3 linked regions of the Stegostoma tigrinum genome follow. The protein of the gene in region 3 interacts with the protein of the main gene of each other region in a biochemical or structural test. Links are inferred from orthologs where the notes say so. Each region holds a gene or a part of one and is shown on either strand. Other genes may lie near its edges. The genes, in order: protein argonaute-2, cnot1 and trinucleotide repeat-containing gene 6A protein-like.

Evidence for each region.
Region 1: the proteins of trinucleotide repeat-containing gene 6A protein-like (region 3) and protein argonaute-2 form a complex in vitro, tested with the Homo sapiens proteins (2 studies listed by BioGRID). The link is inferred for Stegostoma tigrinum from reciprocal best matches to the Homo sapiens genes TNRC6A and AGO2.
Region 2: the proteins of trinucleotide repeat-containing gene 6A protein-like (region 3) and cnot1 form a complex in vitro, tested with the Homo sapiens proteins (2 studies listed by BioGRID). The link is inferred for Stegostoma tigrinum from reciprocal best matches to the Homo sapiens genes TNRC6A and CNOT1.

The regions. Positions count from the first base shown.
Region 1 is NC_081358.1:112,179,791-112,187,487, forward strand, and holds the start of protein argonaute-2, read left to right. Parts: upstream 1-4,630; 5' UTR 4,631-4,860; coding exon 4,861-4,882; intron 4,883-7,697.
Region 2 is NC_081369.1:4,604,477-4,611,810, reverse strand, and holds the start of cnot1 (CCR4-NOT transcription complex subunit 1), read right to left. Parts: upstream 3,047-7,334; 5' UTR 2,888-3,046; exon of another isoform or gene 2,496-2,887; 5' UTR 2,477-2,495; coding exon 2,375-2,476; intron 1-2,374.
Region 3 is NC_081376.1:22,159,120-22,166,343, reverse strand, and holds the start of trinucleotide repeat-containing gene 6A protein-like, read right to left. Parts: upstream 3,038-7,224; 5' UTR 2,913-3,037; coding exon 2,908-2,912; intron 2,619-2,907; coding exon 2,571-2,618; intron 1-2,570.

The sequences.
Region 1 (7,697 bases), on a different chromosome or scaffold from region 3:
ATATCCTTCATGTAAGCCAGGTCGGTTGGTGTCACTGCATGTTGCCCTCAAAGCAGATGTGGTGGAGGGGGCGGTGCTTAGACTGTCACATATCCCTTGCTGGAATGTGCCTTTGCAAAGGGTGTCCAGAGAAAGATGCAGTGGTTTTTGACAGGGTTTGTCCACAGCAGGTCTGTGCTCTGTGATCTGTTCCCCAGGATACACATCGAGACAAACATTAACTGCATCTGGCAGACCATCAAAACGGTAAAAGACGTTCTTTGGTCTGCCCGAAACTTGTTGGCCTTCCAGAACAAGGAGTTGACCTCAACCAAGTGTTGCAGGCTGGCATGTTCCCAAGGTCCAGGACTATGTGCTGAGGGCCGCAATGGAGCCTGGTGTAGCTGCCACCAAGGCACACTGGATAAAGCCATTGTTCTGAGGTCTTCCTGCTGAAGGTAAGTGGAGGTCCATTCAGTTATCTCACCCTCCTGATACCTCAATGAATGTAAATGTGGTCTTGTATGTGTAAGAGATGTCTTTGGTTTGTTTGGACACAGACAAACGCCAATGTTTGTTTATTTCCTCAAAATGTTACTTTACAGAACCAAAGAAAGCCTTTGACAGGATATTGCACATCTACATCAGGAATGTCCTCTCCAAAATGGGCTTTAGGGAAGAAATCCACAATTGGATCCAACTGCTATACATCAAATTCAAAGGCTTTGGAGAGGGCATGGAAAAGTTTTACCAGCATGTTGCCTGATTTGAAGGGTACTACAAGGAGAGATTTGACAAAATTGGTTTGTTTTCACTTGAAGGATGACCTGATAGAAGTTAACAAAATTATAACAAGTGTGGATAGAATGCATAGTCAAAGTCTTTTTTTCCAGGGTAGGAATGTCAGTTACTAGATAACATAGATTTCAGGTAAAAGGGGGAAGATTTAAAGATGATGTGAGGGGCAAGTTCTTTACACTGAGGGTGGTAAGTTCCGGGAATGGAGGTGATAGAAATAGATACGATAGCAATGTTCAAGAAGAATCTTGATGGGATATGACTGCATAGAGGCAATGGTTTTTAGTTTAGAAAGGCTTCATGTGTTGGCGCAGGCTCGGTGGACTGAAGGGCCTTTCCTGTGCTGTTCCGTTCTTTTTTCTTTTAATATCAATAGCACAGTCTCAATTGATGGGTGGGAATCAAAAGATTTCCTGATCATATCTGGAGTTGGGCAGGGCTCCTCTCTCTCCTGCCTTTTTTGTGTTGCACAGAGCCTTTTGCCGAGTCCATCCAGATGGATTCAAGCCTGGGAGGGGTGACTCTTCGAGGCAGTAGAAAGCCTCCCTGAACAAGGATGACTTTGTACTGGCATCAGGAGCCAAAGTAAATCAAGGCAAGAGTGAGGCCATTTTCTTTGGGAACTGGATCAACTGATCCTTATCCGCTTTACCATCATGCCAGATCACCTGAAGATGTTGGGAATATCATTCATTTAGGCCACGGCGTGTGCTAAAACTTGGGAGGAGCATATTGCCAAGGAAAAGTAGAAACTAGGCAGATGGGAGCACCAGCCTCTCTCTCTACTGGAGGTAAAAGCCTGGTCATCAGGTGCGAGGTAATTTTGGTGTTGCTGCACATGGCACAGGTCGGGCCCATTCTCCCAGCCTTGACCACTGCAGTCACCCGAGCCACTTTCTCTGGAGATCAAAGATGGATCATATTCAGACATCATGTACAAAGCTCCAGATTGGCAGAAGGACATACCCAATGCCAACCTAATCCTCATGGCTAACTTTATGTGCTCTGCATCAAACTGTGCGTGGACCGTCAGTAAATAAACACCATGTATTATTACATACTGAGGTCCAAACTGCCCCTGGTGTTACAAATGATAGGCCTGACCTCATTATTGTGTGGTTTCCCAGAGCAGACTGTCAAACCTATTTGGCTGAATGCCTCATCACCAGAACTTGGCAACAAGCACTAAACTGTAACTTGGCTGCTGGCAAGAAGGGCACTAAGAGTCATATTCTTCATTTTCACCCAGACTCTCTCCGACACCACTGCTGTCCTTGAGGCAGCTGCGGGGGTAGCAGAATTCCGTGCTGTACGGGCACTGAGACAAGTATTGACCGCACCTGGAAAACATCAACTCTTGTGAAAGATGTTCTCTGGTCTGGAAGAAATCTGTCAGCCTTGCAGTGTAAAGAGTTGATCTCGAAAGAGTGCTACAGGCTGGCACTTTCCAGGTGCAGAACTACACGCTGAGGGACTCACTAAAACTTGGAGCAGCTGCTGCCAAAAAGCAGTGAGGAAAGAGCACCATCTAAGGTCTTTCTGCTGAAGTACAACAAGGATCTAGAGTCATAGAGTATTACAGCACAGAAACAGACCCTTCAGTCCAAGCTGACCATAATCCCAAACTAAGCTTGTCCCTTTTGCCTGCTCTTGGCCCATATTCCTCCATACACTTCTTATTCATGTACTTATACAATTGTCATTTAAACTGTTGCCGAATCCACTACTTCCTCTGGATGTTCATTCCACACACGAACCAGTGTAAATAATTTGCCTTGTCTCTTTTTAAAATCCTTTTCCTCTCACCTAAAAAATACAGTTCCTAGTCTTGAAATACACCACCCTTATCCATTGACCTTATCTATATTCCTCATTATTTTATAAACCTCTCAGTTCACCTCTCAACTTACTACTCCAGTGAAAAAAATCCCAGACTGTCCAGCCTCTCATAACTCAAACCCTCCATTCCCGGCAACATTGCGGCAGATCTCTTCTGAACCTTGACCAGTTTAATAATATCCTTCCCATAATAGAATGAGCAGAACTGGACACAGTACTCCAGAAGAGGCTTCACTGCTCCCTGGGTAACCTCAACATAACATATGATTACTATATTCGAAGGTCTGAGCAATAATGGCAAACGTGATATATGCCTTCTTAACCACTTTATCTATATGTGATGCAAACTTCAAAGAATAATGTATCTGAACCCCTATGTTTCTCCGCTCTCCAACACTGCTCAAGGCCCTACTTTTGATTGCATAAGTCTTGTCTTTGTTTGTTTCACCAAAATGTAATACTTTGCATTTTTCCAAATTAAATGGGTCAGTTATCAGATCCTGTCCTTGCCTCAAAATGTATGTAAATAGTTATCTACTATGAGTAGAAAATGCTTTGGTTTTGCAACTGTAGGCGAGCTCTGAGGAAGGTCAAAATTCCAATATGTATTTTCTCTGCAAAGACTTCACAGATCTTTTAGAGTCAGAGAATCCCTGAAGTGTGGAAGAAGACCATTCGTTACAACAAGTCCACACCGACCCTCCGCAGAGAATCCCACCCACACCCACCCCTTACCCTATCCCTGCGTTTCTTACCCTGGACACTATGAGCAATTTACTGCAGCCAATCCATCTAGCCTCCAAATCACTGGACTGTGGAATGAAACTGGAACACCCGGAGGAAACCCACGCAAACATGGGGAGATCGCGCAAACTCCATACAGGCAGTCGCCCGGGGCTGGAATCGCACCCGGGTGCAATTTAAAAAACATCATAAGTTTTTAAAAACTGAAAGAACTGCGGATGCCGTGAATCAGGAACAAAAACAAAGTTGCTGGAAAAGCTCAGCAGATCTGGCAACATCTGTGAAGGAAAAAAACAGAGCTAATGCTTTGGGTCCAGTAGCCCTTTTTCAGAACTGATGGTGGTTGGGAAAGCAGCAGTTTATATGCAGAAAATAAGAGACGGGGGAAGGGGTAGGGAGCAAATGATAGAATAGAGCCCAAAGAGAGAGGAGCAGTTGGACAGTCAACAGTTGATAATGATCAGGCTGGGAGGGTGAATAATGACTAATAGCAGGTGGTGTGTGATGCCATGGTAACAAGGTCTGGTGTGTGGGGTGGGGGTCTGGGACATGGGAGAGTTTAGGTCCTAAAATTATTGAATTCGGTATTGAGTCCAGAAGGCTGCAAGGGGTCCCCAAGTGGAAAATGAGGTGTTGTCCTTCTGCATTGAGCTTCGCTGATACACACCAGCAAGCCAGAGACAAGAGATGTTGGCCAGGGAACGCGGTGGTGCTTTAAAGTGGCAGGCAACAAGTAGTTCAGGGTCTCTTTTTCTGAGCGGAAGGCAGATGTTCTGCGAAGCGGTCACAAACTTCATCGGAAGTTTTTAACTGATGTCAAAAAAAGCGCATTCTGCAGTGGCAAAAGGTGTTTAAAACCAAACAGCCCTCCAGCCTGCTCTGCCTGATCAGTCTCTCCTCACAAACACTGCTGTTTCCCGTGATCTTTGATTCCCCTCCTGATCGGGCATCTGCCCAGCTCAGCCTTCAACGTTACACAGGCATTTTGCCTCCACAGCTCTCTGTTTCTCGACACGTACACTCACATTCACTCTCCCAGTTACTGTCATACTACAAAAACGCACAACCACATGGGTGGAATGCCCAACCCGCACTGGAGGTCCGACCTGTCGAGGGCGCATGCGCGCTACACGTTGGCGCCCTCCGCTGGCTCGAATGGCGGGCGCGCGCGCGGGAGGCGGGAGGCGCGAGGCGTTTGCGGTCGCGGGGTGGGGGAGAGGAGGCGTAACGTTCGGGCGTACGGCGGCGCGCTGGGGACCGCCTCCTGCGCTTGCGCGTTGCACCGCCCGTCAAGTGTCTGGCCCGGGGTTTTCTGTCCCCGTTTCACTATCCTTCCTCGTATGTCCCCCATCTCTCCATCGGGAATTATTAATGTTTTTCTTCCTCATGAGTGCTGTTTTGTTCCTGTTTGTACTATAATTTTACATAAACACGGGGGAGGGGGGAAGGGAAACTCTCCATCTCTTCTCAGCCAGCTGCTTCCCTCCCCTTTAAACGAGGATGTATTCCGCCGGCGAACCCGGTAAGCTATTGCTTCACGTTTTTTCTTCCTTTTCTTAAAAAAAAGTTTTTCATCGTTTGAAGTGGCGCCTTACAGAGGTCTGAGGAGTTTGATGTTGCTTGCGGCCACCCTGTCTCTATTGAGGCCTCATCCAAGCCTGGGACTCGGCTACGAGGAGTGCCCCAGGTTGAAGTTGGAAGGGTGACCTGCTGTAAACCGGGCCGTGTTCTAGCTGCCAGCTTTGCTGTGCTGTGGGCTCCCCTCGCGTTTGGAAAGTTTCCGTCTTTCGTTCTCTTCCGTCCACCTTCCGCTCCCGCCCCCGTGAACTTTATAAATATAACCATAAAGGCGATACTTTGCTGTTTTCATAAATACAGTAAATCAGGACTGCGTGGGGTTATCACTGTCAGCTGTTCCCGTGGTTCAGCTTCGAATGGACGTAAAGCCTCTGTAGTACTTTCCCACTCGGATTTTAACTTGCAGCACTCAAGATGAGAGGAGTCGGGTAATTGTTCTCACTTCACTCCTAAATTACTGGAGGAAGTAAACTAGGCTGGATGGTTTGACAAAGCCGACAATGAAAGAAAACAGATGCAAAAGTGTCGCGAACAAAAACAGAAGTTGCTGGAAAAGCTCAGCAGGTCTGGTAGCATCTGTGAAGAAGAAAAAAAAATCAGTTAACGTTTCGGGTCCGCTGACCCTTCCTCTGGTCCGAACTGAGCATTTCCAGCAACTACTATTTTTGTTCCGGATTTACAGCTTCCGCAGTTCTTTCGGTTTTTAGATGCAAACGTGTGTTACTATGCGGATGAGAGAGAGAGGAGCGTTGTACTATAGTTGGATTTCTGTCATGCGTTTTAACTTAACGCTTGGGAAAGGTAAACGTAATTTTTTAAGAGAATAAACTGTGCATTATTGAAATATACAAAAAGTCCACACTGAGCTTGATCTCGTAATGATGCGAGAATGGTCTTATTTTTGATTCTTTTTTAACTGTACTCTGAATCCTACTAGATGACAGGTGATTTTGACCATCTTGGACTTCAAAAAAGATTTATCCATTTATCCCTATACCCTCTCAAGTTTTAATTAAAATCTTTATCCACTTTCTTTTATCAATGTAGATATGCATAGTCTGCTTACATCAACTGTAAATTATCTTAAATCTATACCCATTAACTCATTGAGCATTTGAAATAATTTATTTCTGTTTATCCCTCTAAAACTGTGTGTAAACTTAAGGAACAAAAACAAAGTTGCTGGAAAAGTTCAGCAGGTCTGGCAGCATCTGTGAAGGAGAAAACAGAGTTAGTTTCAGGTTCAGTGACCCTTCCTCAGAACTTAAATAATCATCTAACATACTCTTGAATACCTCATTGAAACTGGCTCCAACACACTTGCAGGCAGTGTATTCTGACTGACCAGCTCATTGCCTGAAAATGTTTTTTTTCTCACATCTTCTCATCTTGTCATCCACCTTAAATCCGTACCCTTGCATTCTTGATTCTTTTGAGTGGAAACATTTACTCCCTATGTACTTATTCAGCACCCCTCACTATTATGAAAACTTCTGTGATCTTTTATCTTTATTCCTTCCAAGGGGAACATTCCCAAGCTGTCTAATCTTTCCTTGTAACTGAAGTCTCATCCTTGTAAATCTCTTGTACCCTTTCTCCAGTGTCACCCCCAGAACTTTATCCAGCTTTGTGTGTTTTGATACAAATTCAGGATCATCTCCTTACCCTTGTACTCTGTGACCCGGTATAAAACTCAGGATACTGTATGCTTTAGTAATGCGCTGTCCACCTGATCTTTAGTGTTAATTATATGCTCACATTAAGATCCAGGTCCCTCTGCTCCTGCCTATCTTTTAGAGTTATACCCATTCTGTATTTATATTCTTCGTATAAAAATGCATCACCTGCAATCTATTCATCCTTGAATCTGTCTATGATTTATCACTGTTCCTCACGTTTTAAAATGCTTCCAAGTTTTGTATTATCCCCTGCACACCAAAGACTAGATCACAAATACATATCTGGAAGAGCAAGGGTCCCAATACTGAACCATGGGGAACTGCACTACAATCTTTTCTTCCAGAAGATATTCATTGACTATTTCTGTTTGCTTCCAATTAGTCAGCTTTTTTAAAATCAGTAACATACTGTAAGCAGATCATGGGAGTAAATCGACATTTTAAGTCTACAGACTATGACTAGTGGAGTGGTGCAAAGATCAGTGCTAGGATCTTGGCTATTTCCAATCTATATTCATGATTTGGATGACAACACTGAGTAATGTATCCAGGTAGTATCATGAGTCAAAGCTATGTGTGAATGCAAGCTACGAAGGTCAAAAATCACACAATACCAGGTTATTGTCCAACAGGTTTATTTAAAAACACAAGCTTTTGGAGTCTTACTCCTCCTTCAGATGTTAGTGAGAGAGGTAGTAAGATTCCAAAAGCTTGTGTTATCAAATAAACCTGTTGGACTATAACCTGGTGTCATGTGTTTTATGACCTGGCCCATCCCAGGCCTACACTGGCATCTCCAATCATGGAAGCTGTGAGTCAGACAAGTTAATTGAGTGAGCAACAAGGTGGCAGAAGGAGTGTGTCGTGGACTGGACACTATCCACTTGTCTGAAAACTGTCTTCCTGGCCAGATCCTGTGTTCTCAACCCTTGAATGGCCAGTATTCCAAGGGTGGAAAAACAATGTGAATCAGAGCTACTGAAAAGTTCTCCTTGATATGTGGCAGCATTGATATTCATGATAGGGACTACTTCATTATCAGTCTTGCAAAATGACACCAGCTGATCCATCAAGCTTTGA
Region 2 (7,334 bases), on a different chromosome or scaffold from region 3:
GAGTATAGGAGTTAGTACCATCATGTTGAGGTTATTCAGGAGGTTGATGAGGCTTCTTCTGGAGTACTGTGCGCAGTTCTGGTTGCCCTGCTATAGGAAGGATATTATTAAACAGTAGAGGGCTCAGAAAAGATTTACCAGGATGTTGCTGGGGATGGACAGTTTCAGATATAAAAAATAGGCTGAAAAGACTGGGACTTTTTTCGCTGATGCATAGGAAGTTGTAGGGTGACCTTAGAGGTTTATAAAATTATAGAGGCATTAGTCTTTTCCCTAGGCTGGGGGAGTTCAGAACCATATTTTTAAAATGAGAGGAGAAAGATTTAAAAAGAATGGGCTTTTTTTTTAAAAAACACATTGGCATAGTATGGGAACTGGACTGCCAAAGGAAGTGGTGGATGCAGATACAGTTACAACATTTAAGACATTTGGATAAGTACATGAATAAAAAAGGGTTGGAGAGAAATGGGCCAAATGCAGGCAGCTGGGTTAGTTTAGTTTAGGAACATGGTCAGCTTTGACTGGTCAGACCAAAGGGTCTGTTTGCATGCTGTATAATTCTATGACTAATCATAAATTAGCAAAGCCAACTTCACATACAATTAATAAATTTGTAGCAGAGCAAGTCACTAAACTTCCTGAAGTACTTTTTTTTAAGGCTGGGTAAATTCTCTCCTTAAAGATCACACATTGACTGCTTTCCTCAATGTTCAAAAACTTCAGTAAGTTTTAGAACTCAGTTGAATTTTAAACTATGACAAGAACAAGTTGCAAATTGTTTTGAAAAGATCAAAACAAAATCCAAAAATACCCAAGGATTCCAAACTATCTCATCACAGATACTGGTCGAGTTTTTTTATTCATTCATGGGTTGAGGGCATCTGCTGGCTAAGCCAGCATTTACTGCCTACCCCAGAGGGCAGGTCTGAGTTAACCAGATTGCTGTAAGTCTGGAGTCACATGTAGTCCAAGGAAGGATGGCAGTTTCCATCCCTAAAAAAACCAATAGTGAACCAGGTCGGTCTATTCAAAAATTGACAATGGGTTCATTGTCATTAGAGTTCAATTCCAGAGTTTTCTTCAATTCAAATGTCATGATTTGCCCTGGCAAGATTTGAAACCAGGTCTCCAGAACATTACCTGTCTACAGATTAATAGTCCAGCAATAATTCCATTAGAGCATTGCCTCCCCTTGAGTATATTTCCAGTAATTATATCAAATAAAGTTTGCTGTAAAAGAAGAACGATTGTCTTTCACTGTCCTAATGTATAACGATCAAGCAATAAGTTACAAAACTGCACCTTCTACTCAAACATATCTTCAAGCAAGAAGACAATTCTGAATTCAAGTGGTTTTCTCATTTGTTTCAGGTTTCAATTTTGTCGACTGTTCCAGCTTAATCATGACAAAAAATTTCAACACCTTTGTAGTTGCCATTCAACTATATGGTATTTTCTACAAATCCCACTTCCTTCCAATGGTTGACAGACATGTACTCAACTTTCCAAATGCAAGGAACAGTCACAGTCACAATTAGATGACACTTTCAAAGAACAATTTGCTTTTGAAGTCCAGTGATTCACAACAAATGAGCTAGAGAAGTTTCTCTCAACTTGTAAGTTAAACAAGGGAATGAACTAGTTCAATTGACTAAGAGACACATTAGTATAGTTAAATTGAAATAGAATTCTAATTAAACTGAAACAAAACAGGAACCAAATGAGACCTTGTTAAGCTGTCAATTAATCTGAATACTTCTAATTAAAATCTTTGCAGATTAATTACTTAATATTAAACGTTTAACAAATCAAAAAGTTGTGTTAAGTACGAAGTATTGCTGAAAAGAATTAGTTTCAACTACAGGTCCATACACAAGAAACAGACAAGTTCCATTCGTTCCCTTCCCCCACTTTTGATGTCCCCTTTACTAGGCCTCACTCCTAAAGGTGTTAGTTACGAGCACCGACTTGAGCAGTTTATACAAAGCGTAAAGTTTACCAAACGTGGAAAAAAAACTTTCTGCCCATCTGTTTCAGCAGCTAATATCCGAGGGAGCTTTCCCTCTCTTACACGCTAAACAATTTTAAGTTCAATATGTGACCATTAACTTTTTGGTAGGCCCAGACTTCACCATGTGAGTTTGTATTTGCCTTTCTACTTTCTTATTGTTACAATTGTTTGATGTTTTATCATTATAAAGGAGTAACCAGTTTGCAAAGACAGTCGTTTTGTTTTCTAAAAAAGAATTGTTACATCAGTTTCCCTCTCTCTCACACACATAACACTTTCGTTTTCTCGGTGAAATGAAGCAGGCCTCAGGCTCCCGGGGCCTCTAGTACATGGTGTGCGAGACTTGTTTCTCGGCAAACTCACATGAGAGATCTCCTGCTGGCTGGATTTGTAATTCTTCTTGGTCAGGTTGTCCACAAGGTAGCTGATTTGAGACAAGGCCAGCGATAACGAGTCAAGATTCATTGCTGGTCGGGGCGGTCAGCTGAGGAAAGCGGGAAATGGTCATTATTCCCCTTTCTTTTACTGGAAAAAGAAAAATTTATCTCTCCTCTTCAGCGCCTTTCCTTTCTGTCTGTCTGTCTGTCTCTCTCTCTTTTTAAATATACAACGATGGAAGAGGGAGGGAATTGAGGGGTTCGGAGGAGGTGGTGGTGGTGAGGAGGGGAGGGGGGTTGGGGAGGAAGAGAGCTCCTTCTAAGTGTTCTCACGGGAAAGTCCGCCGCTCCAATGGTCACTCCACAAAGTGTCCGCTCCGCTTCCTCTTCAGACTTTGTCCCCGTCAGTCTCAGTCTGTATGTGTGTGTGTGTGTGTCTGTCTGTCTCTCTTCTCTCTCTCGATTTCAGTTAGGTCCGCCGCCCGGGTTGCTCGCTCACTTTTCACCCGCTGTCGCTCCTCTTCCTCCTTTTCTTCCTCCTCCTCCGTGTAGCCTGAACATGGCGCTGCTCTGCCGGTAGGGTTACACACACACACACACAGAGCGAGAGAGGAGAGGCCGAGAGTGTGGGGAGGATTGGGGGGGGAAGAGAGAGAGAGAGAGGGGGAGGGGATGTTGGGGGGGAGGGGATGTTGGGGGATAGCAGCCTGGGGGAGGGAAAGTAAGGAGGAGAGGTGAGGTGGAGGAGGGGTGGGAAGGGAGAGGGGAAGAGAGCGCGGCGTGGGCCTGGGCCTGCTGGGCCGGGGAGGTTGTTGTTGTTGTTGCTGCTTGGAGGTGGTGATGGGGAGGGGGGGCGGCGGTGACGGGGGTGCTCGCTCTCGACTTTCTCGCTGATGGGCTCGGTGCAAGCGGCTGCAAATGGCGGCGGCCTCGCTCACTGCGCCATCTTGGAAACACCGACCCTTCCAAAATGAGAGAGAGAGAAAAAAAACACAATAACCACACGGAGAGGAGAGGAGAGGAGGCGGGGGGGGGAAGGCGAAAATATGTTCCTCCAGGAAACTTTTCAGGGCCGACCCGATCGTGTTTGCATTTTCTCCGGGAAAGAAATGAGCCTTCAGCTTCAGTTTATTGCTTGCTTTTTTGGTTTTCTTTAAAAAAAACACACCGACACTAGAAGGAAAACAATCCCCGAACCCGCCGCTTAGTCGGGCGAGAGCGAGACTGTTCGGATAGAGGAGGGGCGGTAAACAGTTGAGGGTTTCCGGTTAGCGGGTTCAAGCTGAGAACAGTGCGGGTATATGTTCAAAGTTTGTTATTTTATTTCTTTAATTGTTTTTTTAAAAAAACATGTTCGGCCCTCCCCTCCTCCCCTCCTCCCCTCCACATCGCCCTCTCTGATATAGTTCGAGAGAAAGACGCTCTCCCTCAAGCCCCGCCCCCATCCGCCAGGACCAGTCGCAGGCCCTGGTCGTACCCGCCAATCATATGCCCTGCCCCCAACAAGCCGTGGCCAATCACACATCCCGCCAAATACCCGCCACAATCCGCCAATTACAGGCCACTCGACTTCAACCCGCCATTCACAAATCCCGCCTACGCTGACCTGTGCCGTGACTGGCACAGCGCGCCTACACGCCAATCATCAGTCTCCCACACCTCATCCATCTCAGAGGAAATCCCGCCCCCAGGTTCCCGGGACGTCATCGGGGGGCGGGTAGGGGAAAGAAGGCATCCTCATGTCAATCATAAACACTCCCGGCCAATCACGGCTAGAAACCACGCCACTCACGTCGCCCATGGCGACAGTAAACCTCGCGCCTAATATGCACATCACAGGAATCGCCCATTTCGCCGCCAGGGGTTCAACAACAAACCCCGCCCTCAGTTGCCGGGACCGCGTACATAATACAAGTCAATCGCAGACGTCTCTCTGTCCCCACCAAAATTGGTACAGTCCAAACTTTGTCGCCCTCTTTAAGATAAACGAATTTTTACTTTAACGAACACGCAAAATTTTACTCTGTAGTTTCTTTTAAATCGAATCTTCGTGGAATGGGTGTTTTTTTAGTTTTAAAAGACATTTCATTCTGTGCCAACAGGGAAATTCTTGTTGAAGCGGAATATTCCGAATCTGTACCAAGTGTTGGGGGTAGGTTATTCTCTAATAATTATTAGGCGCGTTAACGAGAGAGGAGCAATTTGTTCATCCTACCCTCCTCCCATCTCCCGGGGATTAACCCTCTCAGCACCTCTACCACCGCGGGGATTGACCCTCACACAGCTCCTTCCCCCGTCCACCACCCACGGGATTAACCATCACAAACCGCCCTCTCCCCCCAACAGTCTTTTCCCTCCCCATGATTAACCCTCACACAGCTCCTCCCCCCCAATACTCCGCCTCTCCCCCCGGGATTAACCCTCAGCGACCCTCCCCTACACTAACCATCACCTCCCCCAGATTAACTGTCACACACCTTCCCGGCCCCATATTCCACCCCTCTTTACCACCCCCCCCCAACTTTGATTAACCCTGTGAGCCTTACACACCCCGGGGATTGACCCACCCGCTTCACCACGCACCCTGGGGATTGACCCTCAGGCAGCCCCTCCCAACCCCCACGCCTGGAGATCGACCCTCAGACAGCCCCTCCCCACCCCCACCCCCACTCCCTTCCCCCAATTAATTAACATCCCATCCCACCCCTCTGGGAGTTAGCCCTTATAATCCTTTCAGGATTAACCCTCACACAGCCCTGCTTCTATTCCACTCTTATCATTATACCTCTGAGCGTAATTCAATGCTGTTCTGTTCAGTTATTCTGCGACAGCAAGTTCCACCTCACTACATCCTTCATGTGAGGAAATTAAGTTTAAATGTTTCAGTTAATTGGTTCTCCAATGGCAATGGACCTTGCATGCCACCTATTGGCCTTTCGCCACCCTTCACCCAACACAGTTGCCATTCCTAAAATAGCATTAAAATTATGGAAAATTGATGTTGGTTTTGGTAATGTCTCGCTTAAGGTGGGGAGCTTTATTTTTATGTTGGCCTCCATGTTCACCTGGTTCTTCTGATTGTTTAAAAATCCAAATTTGTGATGGTGTGTTGTAACAAGATAAAATATAAAACAATATTGTTGTTTCTCACACTTTTGACAATTTATGCTACACATGGGAGCCGATCCAGTTGTGTGATGACACAAGTGGATTCTGGTGTGTTCTCACAATTAACCCTGGCATTGCATATCAGTGATTTGCGATTGGACCTACCCATGGACTACCTGGAGGACCCTCACAGAAAGCCATTGACCAGCAAACAACACCTTGAGGACTTGTAAAAAATCTGTTAAAAGAAATTGCAAGCTCCTCAACACAACAAAAACTTTTTTTCAGTGGCAGTTAACTGTCATTTAGCTGTGAGTGATTCTTTGAATCAGTGCTAACTACTGTGAACAGAAAGCTGATACAGCACTTGTAACTTGGGTGTGGTTTAAGAAAGGTATACAAAAATAAATAGTCTCTGCTGATACTTGTCAGCATAGTGTGGGAATAAAGCGAGATAATCACAAATCAATGGGGAATTTGGAGCAGATGGCACTGTTTTTCGTCTGCAATGGTTGCAGTATTTTGAGTTGCCACTAAATATTTAATTTTTAGATAGGAGACATAACCAAAATGGTCTGTACTAGCTACACTTGAGTCTCCTTCCGTCTTCAATCTATCATCATAGATATATGTATTCCCTTTTCCCATTGTTTGTCTAGCATTTTCCACATTACAACACTGGCTCCAGTTCAAAACTTTGTAATTAGCTATAAAGAGGTTTAAGACTGGTGATTGCCATATGCTCTTAATGTACTACACTTTGCTAGTAGCAAGTTCCGTATTTTCAAGACTCTAAAATAGTTTATTCTTCTGAATTCTGCATTCGACAATGGGTATAAATGTCAGTCTATAAAGCGGTTGTCTTCCCAACACGCCCGTCAGGCTGCAAAATTTGGTTGACAAATTGGTGACACCTGGGAAAGTTTGAGACAAAACCATCAGTGCTGCCTATCGAATATCTAATCTGCATAACACCATGCAATATAAACAGCCTACAGGAAGTAGGCATCGTGAGCAAGGAAATGAACAATCCTACATGATAACTACTCCAGACAGGCCATTGCAGGAGAATGCTGAACACTTGTTCAAAATGACCTTTCTACTCCCAGCTCACGACTGGTCAAAGGTCCTAGGGTGGTCAACAGAACGGTTTTAAAGATACCATGAAAGCCTACTTGAATGTGATTTCAACAGCAGGGAAGAGAATGCACTGGATCATTCACAATGACTTGCTTCGCCAAGTCCTAACAGCTAATGTGGATATGTGATTTTTTTTTAATGCTATTTCTCTCTTTTATTTTACCTTTTCCACTGTTCTTTGTGCAGCTCAACCAAGTCTTCACCTCACCATGTGATCAGAGATAATGGGCACTGCAGATGCCGGAGAATCCAAGATAACAAAGTGTGAAGCTGGATGAACACAGCAGGCCAAGCAGCATCTCAGGAGCACAAAAGCTGACGTTTCGGGCCTAGACCCTTCATCCCTTCTAGGCCCGAAATGTCAGCTTTTGTGCTCCTGAGATGCTGCTTGGCCAGCTGTGTTCATCCAGCTTCACAATTTGTCGTCTTGCACCTCACCATGTGGGAGGTTTGCTCCCACAAACCCTTAGGGGTGGGATCTACTCAGGCCTATCTGGCCTGCTGTGGTAGAAGAAAATCACTTTCTGCTGTAACTAGAAGAGGCTGTATTATTGAACAAGAAATTGTGTGTTGCATGTTAGCATCTTGTTTAAGGTTACATTGATGCTATAGCCATTCAGAGATTGAAGAGAACCTGGAAATTATGTTTTACACTGTCAAGATCCTAACCTGAGTTGCCCTTAAATCCACATGAAAAC
Region 3 (7,224 bases):
TCAGGTCCTTTTTAAATCTTTTCCCCTCTCACCTTAAACCTATGCCCTCCAGTTTTGGACTACCCCACCCCAGGCAAGAGGCCTTGGCTACATTCACCATTTCTGTGGCCCTCATGACTTTGTGAACCTCTACAAAGGAGGCTCCTCAGTCTCCGATGGTCCAACAAAAATAGCCCCAGCCTATTCAGCCTCACCCTATAGCTCAAACCCACCAGGCCAGCAACATCCTTGCAAATCTTCTCTGCACCCTTTCAAGTTTTACAGCAACCATCCCACAGAAGAACAACTAGAATTGTTCGCAGTAGTCCAAAAGCAGCCTCACCAAATGTCCTGTACAGCCGTGACATGACATCCCAACTCCTGTACTCAATGCACTGACCAATGAAGGCCAGCATGCCAAGTCCCTTTTTCACCACCCTGTCTACCCATGATTCCACTTTCAAGAAACCGTGCATCTCACCGCTAGATCTCTTTGTTCATTAACACTCCCCAAGACCATACCATTAACTATATAAGTCCTGCCCTGGTGCGTCTTACCAAAATGCAACACCTCATACTTACCCAAATTAAACTCAAACTTGGAGATATTACATTTAGTTCCTTCATCAATATTATTAATATATTGATTGTGAATAGCTGAGGACCAAGCACTGACTCCCGCCTGTACCCCAAAAGTCCATTTCTGGCACTCAAAAGAAACCTATTCTTTGTTTGCTAACAATCAGTTCTCTATCCATGTCAGTAAACTACCCCTAATCCTTTGCACCTTAATTTTTATATACTAATCTCTTACATGAGGTCTTTTCGAAAGTCCTTTGAAAGTCTAACTAGCCACATGCACCAGCCCTGACTGATCACCTCTACTGGCTACGTTTTCAAAACATGCTAGAGGATTTGTGAAGTATGATTTCTCTTTCACAAACCCATGCAAATGTCAATCCTGTCACTATTATCTGCTTTTACTGTCAAGATCCTCATATGTTGAAGGTTAACTTGACCGAGTCCTAGCCCTATCTTCCTAACAACCAGTCCTGAAACAGAAAAAGGCACAACAACGCAGGGACAGGATGTTGTCAAAAAGAACAAAGTTTTTTAAGCAGCAGCAACCTACCATACATAATCAAAAAATAAATAAAATTGCCCTTTTGGCAAGGCAATCATTGAAAATAGTAAGATTTATATTCCCATATTTGCACTTTCAACATTGCATCCAATGTGATCTCAGAAACTCAGCATTTGGTGGATAGAAAACCAACGTAAGCTTTTGGAGCTAGTAGGAACTGCCGATGCTGGAGAATCTGAGATAACAAGGTGTAGAGCTGGATGAACACAGCAGGCCAAGGAGCAGGAAAGCTGATGTTTCGGGTCGAGACCCTTCTTCAGGAATGGGTCAGACATCTTCATTTCTGAAGAAGGGTCTCAACCCGAAACATCAGCTTTGCCACTCCTCTGATGCTGCTTTGTCTGTTGTGTTCATCCAGCTCTACACCTTGTTATCTTATAAGCTAATGGAGCACCTTTCACAACCTCAAAACATCTCAACCTCAAAACAGAAGCTTGTTTTGAGGTAACGAATCCAAAATTTTGGAGCCTGTCCCATTCATGCTTGCACTGCCTGTATTTTTTTTTACGATATTACCATCATGCTAATGTTTGAATCCAGTCTCATAATTCTGAGAATGGCACATGACTAATGTGGCCCTCCACTGCACCCTACATTCCTGCTCACCACTTTTGCCTCCAGCTACATCTATAAATTTTATTCTTTAAGCCTTAGAAACCACCTAATTAACCAAATTTTTACCATTAGTCTTCACATTTTCATTCATTTAGTGTAAATGTGGATCTGGTCATAGTCCTGTGAAGTATGTTGGGATATCTTATTACTGAAAATGTGTCAGAACATTTTCCTACATTTATAAACGTCTCTCAAATGTTTAGCAGCTTCACAATTTCTATAAAAATTTAAACAGATTGAGGAATCATGTTTTTTTTGGCATCTGAGGATACACACACGCACACACACGATACGGAACTGAACCGTATGGACAAGGCAAGCTCACCCTAGAACTTGAAGTTAAGAAATAACAACAATGATAATATACTACAGGAACACTCATTCACCAATGAAAGATAATAACTACCTTCAAAAAATGGAGGAGCAAAGTAAATGCTCTCAAAGTAACAGCCAGTTGAAAGAATAACCACATCTGAAAAATCTGAATTACTTCTAAATTTGTATACACTGCACTTTACATCCCTTAATTTGCAGCGAGGCCGATCGACTCTTGCAAAATGCATGTTTACCAGTTAACATCTGGTTGGGCGGCACAACACGCCATGCCTTTCCTGACCCCGATCCAATCCCAGTTATTTTTATAGTATATGCAACATTTGCAAGTTCCAGTATTTATTCTACAATTTTTCTTCACAGTTCAACTCAAGCGAGATAAGGGGGGGGGGGGGGAGGAGGAGGAGGCTATACATGAGTGGGTGAAGGCCAGATATTTTCCTCCCCAAATTTAACTTGAATATATTTAACTGCAAAATGAACCAAAGGCAAACCTTACCTGTTTAGTTTACCTTGAGCTTCTTTGGTAGCGTTAGCCTCCAATCCTCTGCAATTAAACAGGCGACAATCAGAAGGCTATTTTGAGTATTATTTTTAAGCACAAAACCGCAGAAATGCCTTAAGTTCAGAGCGCTGCAATGCGGGATTTGCACACAGGCCCTATCCTACGGCTGCAGCAACAGAGGGGCCTACTTGTTTCTCTCTCACTCTCTCCACCCCATTACCCGACGCTCCCCCGTTTAGCGGCGACACAGCATCAAACAAAACGGTCGGTGGACTGCGTGCTCCCGAGCCGGCTCGTTTGCACAATCCAGGGAAAAAATAAATCTACACACCTCATTAATGTAAAGTGCAACAGTGAGAAATTCGAAAGCTAAACATGCGAATAAGGCTTTAACAGTGAGTGTGCGAGTGGCCGCGGCGCCAAACACAGCGATCACTTTCCACAGCCGCCATCTTCTCCTAACTGACAGGAACTGGTCCAACAGCGCGCGGCTGGGCACTTCCGGTCCGCAAATGGCTGATCACATGGCAACCGGCTCAGCATTGAGGGGAGGGCAGGAAAGAAAACGAGCTGTAAGTTGACAGTAAGCTCTCAAGGATGTACGAATACCAATAATAATTAATTCTCTAGCGTTGGAAGGGAGTTCGGAGACAGGAAGTCATTGGATATTTATCTCAAAAATCGCGTTTGGAAGTTAAATTAAAGACAGTCATTGTGCACACCCAGTTTTCTCCTCATGTAGTTTCCCCAGTTCAAGTCACCCTTGCCCGTTCATCATAGAATATTCGTGCGATATTCTACTGTACAACTTGTCCTCATCGAGCGATCACATATTTGTGCTTTCCAACCTCAAGTTTCCAAACTCCATTTTACCGTTGTTCTCATAGAATATTCGACCTTGGGCATTTTCACATTCTCAAGCAGTTGAGTTCGCTCGGCTGTTAGTTTCGACGGACTACCCCTGCAATTGATTTACTTTTTAATTCATTCCAATCTCAATAGATTTTGGTATTATTTTACCACAGTTGAATTATCTGGTGTTTTTTTCTGCATTTGATTTGATTGATTTTATTGTCACGTGTACCGAAATAGAGTGAAAAGCATTGTTTACGGTCGGTACAGGCAGATTACAGCAAAGGATGTACAGACCAAAGACATACAGGTTACATTATTTGAGGCTAGAGTCCTTTCAACAGTCTGATAACAGCCAGAAAGAAACTGTTCCTGAACCTGTCACTGTGTGTGTTCATGCTTCTGTATCTTCTGCCTAACAGAAGACGTTGGAGGAGTTCATTATCAGGGTGAGATGGGTCTTTGATGATGTAGGCTGCTTTTATGCGGTAGAGAGCTATTTAAGTAGAGTCCATGGATGGAAGGTTGACTTCTGTGATGGTATGGGCTGTGCACACCATCTTCTGTAGTTCCTTGCAGTCCTGGGCAGAGCAGTTGCCATACCAAGCCATTATGCACGTGGACAGTATGCTTTCAATGGTGCACCTGTAGAAGTTGGTGAAGGACATTATAGACCTGCCAAATTTCCTGAGCCACCTGAGGAAGAAGAGGCATTGTTGTGCCTTCTTGTCTTGCATTTATGTGAAGTCCAGGACAGGTCACCAGTTATCATCACTCGGAGGAACTTGATGTTCTTCACTCTCTCAAACTCAGTTTCGTTGATTTAGATGGGAGTGTGTTCTCCTCCTTTCTTTAAGAAGTCGATGATCAGTTCTTTAGTTTTGTTGACGTTGAGACAGATTGATTTCATTGCATCAAGTCACCAAGCTCTTTATCTCCCTTCTGTATTTTGACTCATCATTGTTAGATATCCATAATCAAAGTGATAGAAATCTGTTGGTGAATTAAACAATTTCCCTTGTTGGGTGCTGTGTATCATCATCAGGCATAGCTCAGAATAAAGCCATTCAAACCATCTGAAGTTAACCATATCATGAATTAAACGTAGAATAAAACTGACTTAACACTCTTTTATTTAATACCTCCAGGCAAGTACGGCGAAGGTTAGATTTTGAGTAAAACTCCTAAATATTATACTGTTAAACACTGATATTGTACCAGCTTTATCAGTCAAAAGATCCCTTTACTTTGTTTTATAAATCCCTTGACAATTCACAGTACATTTTCAATGAGAAAACCTTCTCCTCATAAAAATTAATCCTAAATTTAGAAACCTACATCTTCAACACTAATCTCAGACTTTCTTCTCTCTACCTACTAGTTTCTTGTGAGATTGAGCCCAAAGTTTATTGGCAACTTCTGGCACTTTCAGCCGTAGCATTGGAGAGATGCCAGCAGAGTGGTATTATCACTGGACCAGTAACTCCAGAGGCCCTGAGGACTTTTGTTTGAATCTCACTACAAAAAAAAATCCTGACATTTGAAATCACCAAATTTAAATGCGGAATTCAATGGTGGCCACAAGTGTTGTAAAGCCCTTTAGGGAAGTGATATCTGTAATCCTCACCTGGTCTGTTCTACTTGTGTCTGCATATTCACAGTACTGTGGTTGATTCGTAAATGTCCAGGAGTTGTACCTAACCACAACGAAGTCTGTTAAAGGAGATGAAACCAGGCAGACCAGAAGTGATAATGGCCCTGGTTGACCCTAAAATGTCCTCCTTACTAACATCAAGAGTCTTCTCCCAATTTTGGTATATATGTCCAACTGCTAGACATAGTCATTCTGATTGAATCAGATCTGACAGGCACTGTCCATGACACCATGATCACAAGCCCAATGACAGAAAAGAGCCACTGTAGCAGCACAGTGATAGGCATTCAAAAGAGTGTTTCCCTGGGATTCCTCAAGTTTGACTACAGGCCCCATGAAATCTCATGGATCAAGTTAAACATGGCCAAAGAAACCTCCTGCTTATTACCACTTACTACAGTTGATAAATCAGTTGTACTCTATTTTAATAGCCACTTGGAGGTCATACTGATGGTGTCAAGGACACAGAATGTACACAGGTGGGGACTTCAATGTACAGCACCAAGAGTGGCTCAGTAGCACCACTATTAGCAAATGTGTCTGAATCTTAAAGGACATAGCTGCAATACTGAGCTTGCAGCAGGCAATGACAGAACCAACAAAACGAAAAAAATATAATTGACCTCATCCTAAATGATCTACATTTAGCGGATACACCTGTCCCTGACATTATCGCACTGTCTTTACAGACTTCACTTTGAGGATACTTCCATCATTTTCTGTGGCAAAATCACTGTGTGGAATTGGTTAGATTTCAAACCAATCTAGCAAATGAAAACTGAGCAACATGATGTGCTGTGGATCAGCAGCACCAAAACTTTATGCAACATTTGACTTCATAGCCTAGGAGATCCCCAAATCAAAGATTACAAGCACAAACCTTTAGTATATTTCCAGAATGTTGTCATGACCTGTAACATTTACAGCAGCCAGTGCCTTCAGCCGTTGTTTGATATCATGTAGAGCAAATTGTGTTGGCAAAAGGCTGGCTTTTGTGATCCTGTAACTTTAGGAAGAGGCCAAGGTGAATCGTCAACTTGGCACTCCTGACTGAAAATGCTTCGAACTCGTTTTTTGCATTGATGGGCTGGGCTTCCCAATCGACAAGGATGGAGTTATTTGTGGAACCTACTTTTCCAAGTGAGTTGCTTAGTTGTCCAGTACCGTTAATGACTGGATGTGGCAGATTTGCAGAGCTAGGATCTGATCTGTTGGTTATGGGATTGCCCAAGCAGGGGAATCAACCCTGGTTCAATGAAGAGTGCAAGACATCACGTCAGGAGCAGCACCAAGTATATCTAACGATTAGATGTCAACTTGGTGAAGCCACAGAGCAGCAGTACTAGCAACATGTGATTAGACAGACTTAAGCAATACCAGGTTGACTGTCCTTGACATCAAGGCTGTGTTTGATTGGATGTGGCATCAAACAGTATTAGAATAACTGTCGTCAATCAGAATCAAAGGAGTCATATGTAGCACAAAGGACAATAGTTGTTATTGTTTGAAGTCAATCATCTCAGCCACAGGACATCACTGCAAGAGTTCCTCAGACTGGTGTCCTAGGCCCAAACACCTTCATCCATCCCTTCAATTATTTTCTTCCATCATAAGATCAGAGGTAGGGATGTTCATGAAGATTGTACAATGTTCAGCACAATTCACAACTCCTCAAATACCAAGGCATGGACAAAATTCAAGCTTGGGTTTATAAGGAACAGGTGCATCATATAAGTGCCAGGGAATGAACACCTCCAACAAGTGAGAAACCAACCAATGCCTCTTGACATTCAATGGCACTAAAAATGCTGAATCCCCTACTTTAAACATACTGGGAGTTACCAGTTACTAGAAGGTGAACTGGCTACAAGATGAAGCCATGAATTCTGCATCACGCAACTCACCTCTAGACTTCTCAAAGTCCATCTACTGGGCACAAATCAAAAGTGTGATGACATACTCTCCCCTTGCATGGATGAGTGCAGATCCAAGAATGCTCAAGAAGCTGTCTTGATCAAATGGGTCAATGGGCTGAAAAATCACAGATGGAACTCAATCTGGATAAATGCAAGATATTGCATTTTGGTACAACAAACAAGGGTAGGGTCTTGGATAGTGTGGTAGAACAAAAGGACCCAGGGG